Struthio camelus: one gene and its partner. The protein of the gene in region 1 interacts with the protein of each later gene in a pairwise test. Links are inferred from orthologs where the notes say so. Each region holds a gene or a part of one and is shown on either strand. Other genes may lie near its edges.

The links. The genes of interacting proteins can lie anywhere in the genome.
Region 2: the proteins of RBFOX2 (region 1) and RNF8 interact in binary tests that used the Homo sapiens proteins (3 or more experiments, as listed by UniProt). The two-hybrid records come from large-scale screens. The link is inferred for Struthio camelus from reciprocal best matches to the Homo sapiens genes RBFOX2 and RNF8.

What each region holds. Positions count from the first base shown.
Region 1 is NC_090942.1:59,494,632-59,502,478, forward strand, and holds the start of RBFOX2 (RNA binding protein fox-1 homolog 2), read left to right. Parts: upstream 1-4,793; 5' UTR 4,794-4,808; coding exon 4,809-5,024; intron 5,025-7,847. UniProt on the Homo sapiens protein: RNA-binding protein that regulates alternative splicing events by binding to 5'-UGCAUGU-3' elements. Prevents binding of U2AF2 to the 3'-splice site.
Region 2 is NC_090944.1:104,607,112-104,615,037, reverse strand, and holds the start of RNF8 (E3 ubiquitin-protein ligase RNF8), read right to left. Parts: upstream 3,051-7,926; 5' UTR 2,537-3,050; coding exon 2,447-2,536; intron 1-2,446. Other genes in the region: AARS2 (alanine--tRNA ligase, mitochondrial), read left to right, coding at 3,138-3,362, 3,774-3,962, 4,649-4,794, 5,628-5,822, 6,368-6,512, 6,957-7,102, 7,415-7,523. UniProt on the Homo sapiens protein: E3 ubiquitin-protein ligase that plays a key role in DNA damage signaling via 2 distinct roles: by mediating the 'Lys-63'-linked ubiquitination of histones H2A and H2AX and promoting the recruitment of DNA repair proteins at double-strand breaks (DSBs) sites, and by catalyzing 'Lys-48'-linked ubiquitination to remove target proteins from DNA damage sites.

The DNA.
Region 1 (7,847 bases):
AGCAGTGCAGGCAGAAAGCATCTTTATGCTAACTGCATATATGCAGATAACTGCATCTGCACTGCAGGTGTCGTACGGCTTTAGCAGGATTGGTATACTTGAAATGACGCAACTTTGGTACATGATGATACCCCACAGAAGCACAGGCCTATTGGTAATTAGCAGCAATGAAAATAGCACTTCAGCAAGGCTTGAAGCAGGTAGGAAAATAACAAGGCATGGCTACACAGGGAAGTTTTGCTAGGAGCTCTTTGGTGGTTCCTGGCTGTCTCCATTGCTACGTCGCTGGAGCGCCGAGGTGCTCAATGGTGTTTGCTGAAGCCCAATGTCCTCACTGCAAGAGGTGGCCCTGGCAAAAGACCAGGTGCATTGTGGGTGTCGACTTGCTGACTGACCGCTGCCAGCACTGTTGCGTCAGAGTAACATATCAATATTGGCCTCCTGCCACAGCTTGAGGACTGGCATCCTTCATACAGACAGTTTAAGTCAGATGACAAAAACTTCAAATTTTGTTGACTTACGTTATGTATTTTTGGCTGTGTGCTAACCTGTGACAAGAAAAGGCAACTTCTGTTAATAAAACTTAGTTCTGAAGAGCCAGCTATAGATAAGCAAGGAGAAATATTTACCCATGCTTCTCACTAAGGAAAGCTGTATCACACTTCCTGTGAAACTTGGACCAAAGTGCAGGCAGAAACTTTACCTCAGCTGCTCTTCGCTACCTGTGGGAGTATTGCTGTCAGGAGGAAGAGCTTTGGCTCCAAGATCTTGGCTGGCAGGATAGAAGCAGCAGAAATGAGCAGGGCTGGGCAAACTATTAAATCTCCACTGACCCGTTTAGCAGAGAGATAAAATCCCCTGGGAAGGAGAGGGGGCAAAGCTGCAGGAGGCTGAGCGGGCAAGAGGAGCTGGTGAGGTCAACAGGGTGAGACGTCGTATGCAGACAATGGAAACAGCAAGAAACCCTTCTCTGTTGTGGCGGTGAAGGGAAGAGATTCACTCTGAACTGTCTCCTAATGATTCCTATGCCATTGGGTCAAATACTAATAGCTGAGTTTGTGCCTCATTTCCTGCCGGTTCCTTAGAGCTTACGTGAGTCATTGCCTCTGCTCCACCAGAGCACCATAGTGAGATTCAACTCCCTGTACTTCTACAGAGCTTTCAAACTCAGTGTTGTCCTGATGCCACCTGATCTTCAGGCCAATGGGAGCACCAAAACATATTCCTTCAAGTCCCTTCAGAGGGCGCCTTTCTAGGAAAAAGAAAAAGAAAAAAAACTTTAGTCTAAAATGATGTGTATTTGTTCAGAAAGATATATTCTTCACACCAATTTCTGAGCGTTCCTCTGTAAGGATAATGTTTAATATAGCTGCCTCTTTTTGGTTTGTCAAAGATTAAGCGTTGGTGAGTGCTCCACAAACTTGTGCATAAAATAATGGCATGTAGGAGTCAGGCAAGAGTGCTGCGCAGCAATGAAAGGGTTAACAGAAGAATCAGATGTCTGTTTAGTATGTCTCAGATGTCACATACAAATACCTAAAAGGCAGCTGGGTTGTGTGAAAGGAAATCAATGGATTACCAGCATAGTCCCAGCTCAAAAGCTTTTTTGTGACTTCAGGAATGCCTTATACCCCTTCCGTTAAATGGAGACAGTATCTATCCCACAAGCATATTGTGAAGACTAAATCATTAATCTTTTTTAAGTGCAAATGGAAAAAGCTAGAGAAATAATAATACCAAATATCATTTCAATAATGACAGAAAGCAGATGACTGCACTCAGTATACCAGTCATAACTGCAGGTCACTGCAGTGGTTAGGGCACAGTACCTTCCTTGCCTTAGCTTTTTTCATTGCTGAGGGTGCTCTGTGCTATGCAGTTGTCCTGGACTCCTTCGCTTGCAGGCTGCCAACCACAGCCAGCTGAAGATGCCTGACCAGGGGCCCTGCCTACACACTGTGGGCTCCCCTGGGCGCTCTTCTGCAGAGCAGGCCATGTGAGCATGGGGTGTGAGGGGAAACCGGCAGCAACTTTGACATGTGTATGGCAGGAGCTGGTGGAAACGGGACTAGGGGAAGATAAAGAGAAAAATGGAGCCTGGGCACCACTGAACAACTCCTTCTTTTGATATTCCTCAAGGGGAATATCAGGCAGACACATATATGGCAGAGGGTTTACTGCTAACTTTTCTTCAGGCTGGCTCCCTTAAAAATGAAGCATTCTGCAGTGTCTGATAGGCAAGATCTTAATCTGTAATAGTCATCTAGAATGTCCCAGTAAAATACTAGTTATGGAAGGTGCATGCAGATGAAGAGAAATACAGAAATGCTTCTCATCGAATGAGTAGCACCCTAATCATGAGAATCTCTCTTCTTTTCAAGTCAAGGGTGGAGTGAACATGTTCATTCAATGTTGTTTGACAGTCTGGCTCATTTTATCAAACCCAGTCAAGATGAATGAGACATGTGTTTACCCTTGGTGGGCGAGCAGACAAAAACTACATGTAATTGTCCTCCGGGTGCCTGCCACTCCATGGGGATTTGTAATCATTTTGGAAAAAAAGAGATTTCCCTGTCACCGGAAGAGACAAGCTGGCACCTTGTTGCAAAAACGTACCACTTAAAATAGTTTTTAACGTGGCCTTGAAAACTATTTTTGGATCAGAAAGAATGTGGTGTATGGGCAGACTGGAGTCAAGTATTGTAACTGTCATTCAAAATCAAAGGCTCGATCATTTCATGAAGATCAGCAGATGAGTAAAGATACACCAAGATAATCCAATTGTTCCATAGGCTTCAACACATACAGTGATATCTGAAAAGTCAAGAAGGGTTTCTTGTCATGTGTGTTGACATACGCTGACCACCTCCATTCCTGGTTTTCTCCTTTTCAAGTGTTGACCATCAGAGGAAGAATACCCATTCCCATGCCATAATAAAACCAACTGCATGTTTGTATTAGGATCTGCAGATTAGTTCTCCATCAAGTTACCAAAGCTTCCAAACTAGTTTCAGGATAGCAAAAGCTGCTTGTGTTCTCCTTTCTCTAGAACAGACATTGTCCTTGGTGCTACCAGACAGCAGCTGTGCAGTAAAATCAACTTCACATTCATGCTAAGGATTCAAAATTTGGTTCTTAAAATCAAAAACACGGAGGAGTATAAAAGAGCTGATGAACTTTGGCTTCAAGTTTAAATACTGATGTCTACATCTGGTTGCAAGTCATTTGCAGGAAAACAAGTTAGGAGTTATGTAGAAAAACGCAGGAGAATCCCACCGAGGCTATTATAAAAACAGATCAGCCACTTTCTGCAGAAATCAGAGACCAGCACTGTGAGACGTGCCCTAGAGTGAGCTTCCCAGAACCGTACAGAGGAAGCCCGGAAACATTCAGGAGAAAAGACGCATGCCCTGAGCGACAGGACGCTACCCTGAGCTGGAGCACCGTCAGGTACCAAGTTGGGCAGAGCATCCTTACAGAAGCCTGACACCCCTAAAGCAGGGGATTGGGTCACTAATTCTCACCTGCAGATTTGCCTTAGCTCAGTACTACTCCTACAGGCAAATCTGTGCTTGTAACCGTGGAAACCTCTCCCCGAAAAACAGCCCTGAAACATGGATGAGCCTTTGGTAGGGGCTTTGAGGATACGTCTCTGCCACGAGGGGCTGGGGATCTGCATCCTTGCCCCCAGCGCAACTGCTCCAGCAGGCGGGCAGCCCTGCTGTACAGGATCCTGCATCTCCTGCAGTCTGCTCCAAGATTTATCAGCCAAAATATAACATCTCTAGCCCAGCCTCGTTACAAAAGGCTTCGAGCAGGCGAAGATGAAACCACTTTTATGTGCAGCACACCTTAAACCCTGTGATGATTCCCCACACAGATACTTGTACAGCGGGACAAAAAAACCTGCTTTCAGCTCAGCATATGCTTCACGGCCAGGGGACGAGACAGACCAGAATCTATTGGTGTAAGAGCACCATCCCCGCGGTGTTACACAGCCTCGTCTCTGCTGAAACCCCAAACGTGCCCGTCCTACAGAGGAGCAGGTGGCGAGGGGCAGAGAAGGAGCCAACGGGGGACGCTGTGGGGTGTCAGCGACCGCCCGGAAACCTCCCCGCAGTGGGGCAGAGGGACGCAGCAGCCAAGGCCCGCCCCGCGGACAGGCGCAAGGCAGGCGGGGAGCGGGGCACCGAGGGCAGGCGGCGGGCCAGGCCCCAGCTCGGCCTGAGGGGCCGCGGGCAGGCCTCGCAGGCGGCCGGCGGGCCTCGGAGGCGGCGACCCCGCAGGGCGGGCACCGCCTGGGGCCAACGCGGCGCCCCGGCTGCTCGCGCAAGGACCGGGGGCTTCGCGGCGGCGGAGGGGGACGGGGAGGGAGGCCCGCGCCGGGCGGCCATTTCCCCGCCGCCCCGTGCGGCGCGATAGCGGCGGCGGCGGCGGCGGCGGCGGCGGCGGCCGGGCGCCCTGCGGCCCGCGCTGGCCCCGCCCCACCCCGAGGCCCCGCCCCCGCCCGTCGCCGAAGGTTGCCGAGCGAGGGTCGCGCTGCTTCGGCGCCTCGGCCGCCGTTTCCGGAGATTGCCGAGGGGCTTCGGCCCCTCCCCGGCCGCCGCCGAGCCCGTGACCGAGCCGCTCCGGTGGGTCCGAGCCCGCCGCGCCCGGAGCTGTGGTAGCGGGGCCGGCGCTCGCCCGCCTCCTCCTCCTCCTCCGCCTCCTCCGCCGCCGTCGCCGCTGGCGGGGCCGGGCGTCGTGGTGACAGAGCGGGGCGATCGCGGCGGGGCGGCGGGGGGGCGGCCGGGGCTCCGGCGGCGCGGATGGCGGAGGGCGGCCAGCCCCCGCAGCAGCAGCAGCAGCAGCAACAGCAGCAGCAGCAGCAGCCGCAGCTCCTGGCCGGCGGCGGCGGCGGGGCCGCCCGCGGCGTGAAGCGGGAGCCGGAGCTGGAGCAGCCCATGCCCGGCGGGGACGGCGCCGAGGGCGGCCACAGCAAGAGGCTGCGGACGGAGGGGGAGGCCGACGGTGGCGGCATGCAGGTAGCGGGCCGGGCCGGTAGCGGGAGGGAAAGCGGGCTGCCCGGGGCGGCCCTGGCGCGGACACAGCGACACGCACACGCACACACACCGACACGCACACACACACGCGGTGGGTTTGTCGGCGCTGGGAAATACAATGGCGGGGGGGCGCCCCCGGGCGGGGGGGGAGGGGGACATCCCTGCCCCTCGCTCCGGCTCTCCGCCCCTGCTGGCGGCTAGGAACGATGGGCAGGATTTGGACTGGCTTGTTTCTTAATTATATGTATTATTTTATCTTAATTTTATCTTAATTTTATCTTAATTTTATCTTAATTTTATCTTAATTTTATCTTAATTTTATCTTAATTTTATCATTTCTTGCAGTTTGTCCGTTGCCCTAAAAAGAACGCTCTGCGCAAGCTACGCCTGTGCTTTCTTCCTAGGGAAGCCCCTTCCTGATTCTTGAGAACTATAATAGCGCCTAAAGAGACAAAATAAATCCTGTAGAACCGCTGCTATCTCTTGCCGCTCTTCTCCTTTAAAGGAATTGCTCTCCTTTAGCATATTTCTGTCTGCCACATCTCATAAGTGTCTTAATCTGAGTGACCAGACACTCCTCTGTGCCTCTGTTGTCCCAGACCAGGGATGAGTTATTTGTTATGGATTTAATTTGCTACCTCCTTACCCGTAATTTTTCCAGTTGAGTGAGAAAGCGTGCATGTTGGCTAGCTGATGCTCGTTGGAAGTATAGTACAAAGCATGTTGCGGTGGGATATTTAGCGTATGGAGTAGAGGTGTCGAATAACACAAGGGATAACGTGAATTAACGAGGAGGATCAGGTCTCTTATCAGATGCCTTCTCTGGCATAGACAGAGATCTACGTGAGTTTTACGAATTCAGCTGAGCATGTGTTATTGCAATGTACGGTTTTCATTTCTGAGGGGATGGTCCTGTTTGATGCTAGATAGGCCTTCAGTGCTCCTGTCATTGCATTTCCCTCCGTGGCTCTAGATTCTGCAAAAGTACTGATGGCTCTGCCTTGAGAGGCTGTGGAAAGGAGTGGCGAAAGAAAACATTCAACGCGCGGTACATGCGTAACATGGAGCATGTTAAAGACCAATGATGCTTTATCCATTCTCTTTTGATTCTTTGTCTGTAAATGATAAGGAATAATTTCAGGTGCTTCTTGGGAACAGAGAAAGGGGTCTTAGGACATCATGTGAGAGAGTCTTCCAGTTTGGGAAAGAGAATGATGACTTTGGATAAGAGATTAAGTTCCTGTCTTCTGTTCCTTACACATTTTGATCATCACTGAAGGATTGGTCTTTACTTTTCCAGATGCATTTGCTTTTGCATTTGGGTGGGGGGGGTATAGGGAGTTAAAGATATTTCTATTTTCTGTTGTCTGTATGTTATGTGTGATTTAATTATGGCAGTTCAGTTGGTGCTTTTTTGCTTCTGTTTCTTGCAACAGATATGTTAGAGTTCTTTGAAGATGGTGTGATTTATTCAACTAAAGTTATTTCTGTTCTCACTTTTGCTTGGGCTGGTCTATCCTGTTCACCGGAGAGAATTCTGTCCTCTGTAATGTGTTTCTCTTCTGATCTAGATGCTAATTGCTGACCAACTATTTTCCCTTTTTATTTTCTAGGCTGTCCCCACATTGCACACTCAAGACTCTTTTTTTTTAAACGCCTTACAGCAGGAGGGTTTTGTTTGTACTTCTGTTTGATGTTTAGCCTTTCATGGTGGTCTCTACACCGCACAGAACTGCTTTTTCAGCCAGTCTGATGTTGAGAGCTAAACATAGGTTGGAGCTTCACACCTGAATGCTGTGTCTCATGCTCCCATACGGCCCAGTGAGAAGCACGCTATGCTCTTTTACTCCTTGAAATAGTATCTTCTCCCACACATAGGTGTAAAGTATGACTCAGACAATGTGCATAATTACAAGGCAAAGATGCTCAATATTGAAGAAATGCTTGTGCGTTGTGTATAGTTAGAGAATTATGAATGAATGTATCAACCCAGTGAAAGGGAATTTTTCTAGGTCTTAGGAGTTGGTCGGAGGCATAGGTCCTGGGTAGCTATGTGAGATGTGTCAGTTCAACTACAATTAGTGGTTAAATATTGATGTAAGCCAGTGGCAAATCATTTGAAAATTGCCCGCAAAGGGACTTGAACTGGTTTAACTAACCGTCTTAAAATTTGATATTTGTGTAAACTAGTACAATTTGTAAGTACAGAAAAGGCTCCCCTTTAGATTTAAATGAGGAAAGCATTTTGCTATCTGTTCAATGAATAGTACAAAATAGTGAGGTTAGAGCATTTACCCATGGGACTATCACCGTGTACGCACAACAATGCATAATGCTGTTACTAGTAGTAAAGATTAATTATGGATCTGAGCAGAGAGTTGAATTGTTTGTGGTTTTCCATATTGTAAGCCGGCAAACAGTTATGGTTCTAGCAGTACTGAGGGAAAAATAGTTGGAGAAATGCATTTAGTAGAATTCATTTTTAAAATTAAGTTTATTCCATATGCCTATTCTTCAGAGTAGGAGCTCCATATCCTAGTTGTTTAGTATTCTTAGTATGATATAAATCTTTTCTCTAAGTTTTGCTATAAATTTTTTTTTTTCTTGCCAGATGTTTCACTCTAACATTTTTTAGGCTTAAAGAGAGTGATGTGTTTGTTTGGAGACTCTTTTCATAGTTGTAAGTGCAAAATACTAAATATGATGCCAATCTTACAAATAATTTCTTAGCTAGGAAGATGTGTTTTTTAATAATTTAAAAAGTCTATATTCTTTTAACCAAAAGTCAAAACTTATCATAAGGTT
Region 2 (7,926 bases), on another chromosome or scaffold:
TTTCTTTGACTAGCTGCATCTGTTCAACTGTTGTAAACAGTACAGCCTAGAAAACTGCTACCCAAAAGCGTGAATGTAACCATGCCCTAAGCATGCAATACTTCTGTAAATCACACCATCAACATTAGGGCTCAGAAACTAAGCTACATGCCATTCATAACCACTAGTGAAGGTGATCTCAATAATCTGATTAGAATCTCACAGTACCTTCCGGAAGAAGAATGGACAGAATTTGTAATGGTACTACTTCACAATACTTTATCAAAAAATATGATCTAATTGCAGGCTGCCATTTAAAGCATGGCTTTGCTCTCCCTCTCTCCACTGCCTCCTCACGTGATCTGATAGTCGCAGACATTTCTTATTCATTTGTGTGTTGCAGGGAAGTAATTTCTTTTAGAAAGGACAAGTTTTCAGCCAGTTTACCATGTAATTAGACAACTGCATGAATCCAATGCAATAGATACAAGAACGTGCAGCCAGAAAGAGCAGGACAATACACCATTTAGCAGAAGCCCACAGTAAAATCAGACTAGGCATATTATAAAAATACAACCTAGTCTGTATGTCTTAGATGAAAACTGCCCCCTTTTTCCCCCTGCAATTCCAACTCTTTTGCATCACACCTTCCAATTCCTACAAGAAGAGGGCAAGATCCTGCAGCCAAGGAAAATTAATTTACTACATGTTACGTGAAACAGTCCCATCCTTCAAGTTGAAAGCAAGGGCTCAAACTCCCACATCGTAACTAAATGCAAGGAAGCTAACTAAGATCAGGAAAGCAAACTGAACCACAGAATTCCCTACCTCTTAAATGCTTCACATCTCTTAATGTTCTGTCAACATGGGTTGCTTCTGCAAGATGAAGATGATTCTCAAAATGAAGATGATTCTCTACCACCACCTTCCTGTCTGCCCCATACAGCTCCCTCCATATCAGCAAGAACTTCAGGTGGATTCAGTTATACACACAACTTTGCTTTTGTCTGTGCAGAAATGCCTAAGCCACATCAACTATTATTAGTTCTCGGTCATGCACGTCTTGTGGCCTAGAGTGCCAATACAACCAAGACTGCGTAGAGCCAATCATAAAACTTCCCCTCGCTAACGTTCGTTGAGCAAAGAGCAACAGCCGTGGGGTTTCAGACGTTACCGCTTGCCTGCTAGAGTTCATCACTGCCACAACATAACGCACCCCCATACCTATCAGCAATACAGTTTGACACCACCATTTAAAGCCCCAGTGACAGCACTTGGAGCCAACGTGCCAGACTGTAAGCTGGTAAGCCTTAAGCACCAGCCACACATTTACTCCGTTGCTTGTGAGAGGGAGGGTAACAGTATGCCAATAACTAGGGTAAAAACACGTAAACAAGATTCTCCATCCAATTACCAGAGCCCTTATTGCAAGTTTTGCAACTCCACTACTCAGTTCCTTAGCTGAGCACACTTACACCCCTGCTGGCTTCAAATCCATGAGTGAAAGTAACACATCGTACATCTGCCTAAAGATCTGCCTAGCGTTTAAAGATGAATTAGCAAGGGTACCTTGTGCAAGGCATAAGCACAAAGGAATTAACTACAGTGTGAACCCACAACATTTAACTGCCTGCTTTTGACCATAAAAACTGCAATCCTCTTGTAGCACCGTATCTTCAATACGGTAATTTGTCATCTCACTTCAAGAGTAAAAAGATCTGTTTTGGCTTTTTAACTAAAAAAAAATGATAACAGAAGAAAAGCTTATACCTATGCCATTCTGAAACATAACTGAAATGGCTGAAAATACTGGCTGTGTTTACACTTGAATAACTTTAGCCACTAAAACTAAATATGTCACATATTGCTAACCTCGCCAGAGCATCACGGTATTAATTAGGCTAAGGATTTTTTTTTTCTTACGTTACCATTATCACACAAACAACTTCTGCTTAAACATGACATCACGTTAAAAAAGTTAACGTCTGAAGACATAGCACATTAAGTTTAAACCTCTGATCTCAAAAGCAGCACCCCGCTTTCTGCTCCCTTGCAAGTTACTGGCGTTGAAATAAACTGGTTGTAATCGGGGGGAGATCGGTCTTTAAGAAAGCGCAGAAATACCGAGCAACGCTTCACCAAGACTGCTTTAGGGGAAATAATTTATAAACTGGGATTAATGACCGGCTCTTCTGAATAATAATTAACAACTGCCGCTCATTAGCCTAGATAGCTTTTTTTTTTTTTTTTCTGGAAAGCGCATTAGCGAGTAAACAGGCTCTCAAAACAGCACACTCCCACAGTCACCCGCCCGCCCCCCAGCCGGGGCTCAGCGAGAGGCGGGCCGCTCCCCCCGCCTCACCCCGGCTGGCGAGGGCCGTGCCTCGGGCGCCGGGCCGCCCCCGCGGCTTTCACCCGGGGGGGGCCCCGCGGCGGGGCCCAGCGGCGGCCCGGCCCCCCAACTCACCTCGGTGCCGGCCTCCAGCAGGAGCCAGTCGCCGCTCGCCCCCACCCGGCGGAGGCACCAGGCCAAGCCCGAGGCCCCGCGCGCCGCCATGGCGCCCGCCCTCCCGCCGCTGCGACAGGCAGAAGCAATCGCTGCTGAGGCGGCGGCGGCGGCGGCGGCGGCACCGCCTACCCGCTCCCGGCCGCGGCGCTCTCGCGAGGGCAGAGCCGCCGCAGAGCCATAGCGGCGGCGCACCGCCCCGCAGCCCGGCTAATCGAGCCTGGAGCGCGGAGGGGGTTGGGGGGGCTGCGCATGCGCCCGGTGGGGGGCGGCGGCGTACGGGCGGCGTTGCCTGGGGGATTTGCGGGGCGGGAGGAGCGGCGCCATTGTGGTGCGCATCTTCTCGCAGGGCGCCCCACGGGCTTAGGAGCGGGGTGCTGACGGGCAGGCCGGCCGGCCGAGGTCCGCCCGCCCGCCACAGTCGGGGGATTTGGAGGCCCGGGCGGCGGGCTGGCGGCCGTCCCGGCCGCTCCCAGTGCACACACCCTGAACGGAGGCGGGAAGCCACCCCCGCCCCGCCCTGCGCTGCCGGGCCCAGCCGCGGCCCTCCTCGATCCCATCGGCCCCTGCCACGCGCCCTCTCCTGGCTCCTCCCGCTCTTCTCGCTGCCCTTCCCGAAGGCGCCCTCGCCCGCCTTCCGCCCTCGGCCAAGATGGCGGCGGCCGGGCGGCTGCGGCGCCGCCTGCTGCCGGCCGTGCCGTGGCGCTGGGGCTGCGGCCCCCGCCGCTGGGGCACCGGCGGGCCGGCGGCGGGGCAGGTCCGCGCCGCCTTCCTCCGCTTCTTCCAGGAGCGCCACGGCCACCGCCGCCTGCCCTCGGCCCCCGTGCGGCCTCGGGGGGACCCGCGCCTCCTCTTCGTCAACGCGGGCATGAACCAGGTGCTCCCCCCGCCCCGCGGACCGGTTGCGAGGGGCGATGCGCCCCGCCGCCCCCTCCCCCGGCTCTCCGCACTGTCGGGGCTCGGCCCGGGGCCTGCGGCCGACCGGGAGCCGAGGGCTTCGGCTGTGCTCTGCCTGGGGCCCCTGCCTGCAGGCCGCCGTGGGCGGGCTTCCCGGGAACTCCTCTTCCTCAGAGGAAGGCGGTTTATCTGTAGCAGGAAAGCCTTTTTCACAGGAAAGCCTGTGGCCTGATCGGCTCCTGTACCTCCTTGTCACCTCACGACTCTCCCATCTCCATGTGCATATCTTCTGCTTGTAGCTCCCTATCTGTATTTCTGGAGCTACAGTCATAAGCCTGCTATGCTGGACGGTGTCTAGCAACAGGAGATGTCTCTCTGCCTTGATTTCTAGTTTAAGCCCATTTTCCTGGGCACGGTGCATCCCCGGAGCGAGCTAGCACAGTACAAGCGGGTGGTGAACAGCCAGAAGTGCGTGCGCGCTGGAGGGAAGCACAATGACTTGGAGGATGTGGGCCGAGATACTTACCATCACACCTTCTTTGAGATGCTGGGGAACTGGTCCTTTGGAGATTACTTTAAGGTGAGGCAATGAGAGTCAGCCCTCTCCAGGGGGAGATACAGCTTTTCTTTTATAGCATCAGATCTGTCTTGTAGCACCATAAAGGTATTTGCACGAGGCTTTGGCGAGCTCTGAATTCCTTGCTGGAAGCTCTGTGGCTTGCAGCAGAGGTAGTCAGCGTGCTGAATCACTAAATGTGCCCGGCAGAGAACTCATTTCTCTGAAAGTGCCCAGCCTTTGCAAAGCTGCCAACCGCATATACAAACCAAAGCGCCCTGTGTGAGTGCCAGTGTTGACCATGTAATATGGGTGAAAAAAGGTTCCTGTTTCATTTTGTGCTTGTTACTGGAAAGTTCGAAAAGGGAGAAGGATAAAGAATGCTAATTGTTTTTCTAGTATATGCATTTCTTCCTAGGAAAGAAAATAATCCATGTGACTGTGCGGGTAAGCAGGTCAGTGTAGACCATGCTGTGATCCTGAAGGTCTCCCAAGGATTTAGGAAGGCCACAGTTTCCCACAGCTATTTGAAGAACTGTCTATAATTGGCCTGACCCCCATCATACTCACTGACATATGTCTTAAGACTGCAGAGGGACAGAACAACTGAAATTAGCCTCTTTGGTGTTTGACTCCCATTCTAAAGAACCTTCTTGTCTCCCTTCATGCCCTGGATTACTGTACTTCCTCGGTGTTCCCTGCCTGCTCAGGAGGAGGCATGTAGTATGGCCTGGGAGCTCTTGACAGAAGTCTACAAGATTCCCAAAGATCGTCTGTACGTCACCTATTTTGGTGGAGACTCTTCGCTGGGGCTGAGCGCAGACGAGGAGTGTAGGGACATATGGCTCTGCCTGGGGTAAGTTGTGTTGGAGAAGAAGTTCAGAGCAGCAAGTACTGACGTTTCAGTCTCCATAGTCTCTCATTTGCTCTTTAATTCATGGGATTCAGATGTAGGAGCCAAAAACTGGGCTTTGAAATCATTTGGTTTCTGCTTTTTTGGGACTGCTAAAAGTCCCAAAACTCGGAGCACTCTGGGGGACTTCATCTTTAAGCTGTTGTTCAGATGCAGTCAGTCTAGAAGGGCTGTGAACCGAAGGTTGTCTGACCGGGATGAAGTGACGTGGTGATTTCTGTTCCATGTGCGGTAATGCTACTCCCACTATCCTTCTTTTCTTTGTGTGATCCTTTGCTTCCTCTCCGTCACGAGCTGCGGAGATCGCATTGTCCTCAAAAAGCTAGCAATGGCCCCCTCAACCTGAGGATGAAGCCCTGATGTACTTTGGGAGCTTGTTCCAGGCTGTATGCAGACTTTGGGCTGAAGGCTGATAACTCTGTGCCATGTTTGGTGTCCAGCTTTGTTTGTCCTGATCAGATCTTAGCTCAGCTAACCTCCAGGGAGAAAAGACCCAACAGAAGACCCAACAGAGAGCTGGCCATCGATCAGCAGGGGCCAGACTGAGCTTGCTAGCCATGCTGAGTAGTGAGTAGGATCTGTCTGCTTTGGTCCAGCTTACCCCTGCTAAGGAGGTTAATTCCGTGTGAACAGAAGCAAATGAACCTTAATGTGTTCACATTCTGAGTTTGTAGTAGTCAGAAGGGATCCTGCCTCCAACTTTCTCTGTGATCTAGGCTAATCTGTATTTTGTGTGTGTGCCCCAGTCCTGCCATCCCTGTTGTTTGCCTTTCCAGGGTGCCTGCCAGCCATGTGCTTCCTTTCCCATTGAAGGACAACTTCTGGGAGATGGGGGACACAGGTCCCTGTGGTCCCTGCACAGAGATCCACTATGACCACGTGGGTGGTGGCCGAAACGCTGCAGCACTGGTGAACCAGGGCAGCCCTGATGTAGTGGAGATCTGGAACCTGGTCTTTATGCAGTATAGCAGGTACTAGGCATCCAGTCCAGATCTCGGAGCCTTTCCCTCTCCTCTGACATCCAAACCCTAGTCAATTTTTCAGACTTCTCACTGCTTTCCAGGAGGTGGCGGTACAGGATCAAGGGGAAGCAGTGGAAATGTGTTTTCATTGTGGCCCATAGGCCCCCTTTGCCATGCTTCTCCTGTCCTTCCTCAGCCTGTGCTGCCTCTTTTCCCTCACTGCTTCATCCCAGATGTTCCTTTAGGTCTGCAGCAGCACAGAAAATAACTGCTAGGAGGAGGAGAAGGGCTTAGGCCCCTGTTCAGGGCAGGCCTTTTTCCCTACACCATGTTCTGACTATCCAATGGTCAGAGCATGGCTGCCCAGCAGTGCCACCTCCGGCTGCTGTTAGTCCTCTCCCTGAGATTTCTTCTTTTGAGTCACCTGCCCCAGTGCTATTTCCACCTGCTGTCACTCTCCCATCCCCTATGACTCGTCCACTCCTGTTCCTTGGCCCTGGACTGACCCCTGCTTCTCTTTTGCCTTTTTTTTTTTTTTTCTGGCATGCTCACAGAGAGGTGGAGGGGAATTTACTTCCCTTGCCCCAGCACCATGTGGATACAGGAATGGGTTTGGAAAGGCTGGTGACAGTTCTGCAGAACAAGCGCTCCAACTATGACACAGATCTCTTCACTCCCATCCTGGATGCCATTCACAAGGTGATGATGCTCCTGTTCAGAGCCGCAGCTAAGCCAAAGCCCCATGAATGCAGACTGCTTGACTGGTACCATAACACAGCCTTCTCCACACACATTACTATGCAGTATTTTAAGACAGGAGGTATGTGTAGCTAGGCCCACAGCAGCATTCTAGAGAAGCTGGGGAAAATTCCAGATTGGGAATCCACTGGGATAACAGCTCTACTGATCCGTGTTTCTCCAAGGGTCTGTTAAATACCTCAGGGCCAGGGCATTGGTTGACATCTCTTAGGCACACAAGCCTATAATTTTCTCAGAAGGTTTTATGAGTACATCTTGCATCGTAGGCTGCAGAGGCAGTTGACAAGCATGAAGTCAAGTGTGTAGCTGGCTGTCTTACCTTGCAACTTTTTTTTTCTACAGCTATTCACAGCTGCTAATCTGTCTCCTTACTTTCTCTTCTAGGGCTGTGGGGGGCCCAGATACCAAGGTCTGGTCGGGAAGGCTGACGTTGGGGGTGTGAATATGGCCTACCGCGTGGTGGCAGATCATGTGCGTACCTTGTGCGTGTGCATCACTGACGGCATCTACCCAGGCCTGTCTGGAGCAGAGTAAGGACATGCAGAAATGGCACAGGGTGGATGGAGTTTCCGGAAAGGAAAGGGAATATGAGCAGCCCTAGGGGAGAGGTTGTGGAAGGGGTCAAAGACAGGGAGTGGGTGAGCTGTGTAGAAACACGAAGGAGAGGGCCTGGAGGCATTTAAGATCAGCAGGGTCATCCCCAGATAGATGTGAAGAGTGGGGTGCAGCTGGCCTATATGGATAGATCAGGCCAGAGAGGAGTTGCGTGTGGGGTGTGCTGGATGTGGGGGCAGGGCAGGGATGCTCACAGGGCTATCTAGGAAATCGTGCCCTGCTTTCAGACTGGTGCTGCGTCGGATCCTGCGCAGGGCTGTCCGCTTTTGCTCTGAAGTCCTCCATGCCCCACCTGGGCTCCTGGCCTCCCTGGTTCCTACTGTAGTGGAAGTGTTGGTGAGTAAGAGTTGCTGCCTTAGGGAAGAAGAATATCACATAGCTCCTGTTCAGTCCCATGTCCCTTTCCTGTGTGCTGTCAAGAGACAATCTTGTATGGGAAGGAGCTCCAGGAGGGTGGCTGTGGTGCTGTGTGCTGCCACAATAAAACTCTGTTTTCTCCTGATCACTTGTTATTGGGAGGAGGGGACTAGTGTGACCTGTGGCACCCTCAACACAAGTATGCATGTAAGTGTGTGCGCTGTTGTTTCCCAAAGGCAGTGGTTTCCACGCTGTCGTGTTTGCTTAAAGCCACCTGGAATTGGTCCCTGGGATTGCTAAGCGCCTCCTAAGAGAAGCTGCTTCCTTCCCCTTTGTAAATTGATGCGTTTGCCACAGAGATGCTGTGCAGGGGCTAGCAGGG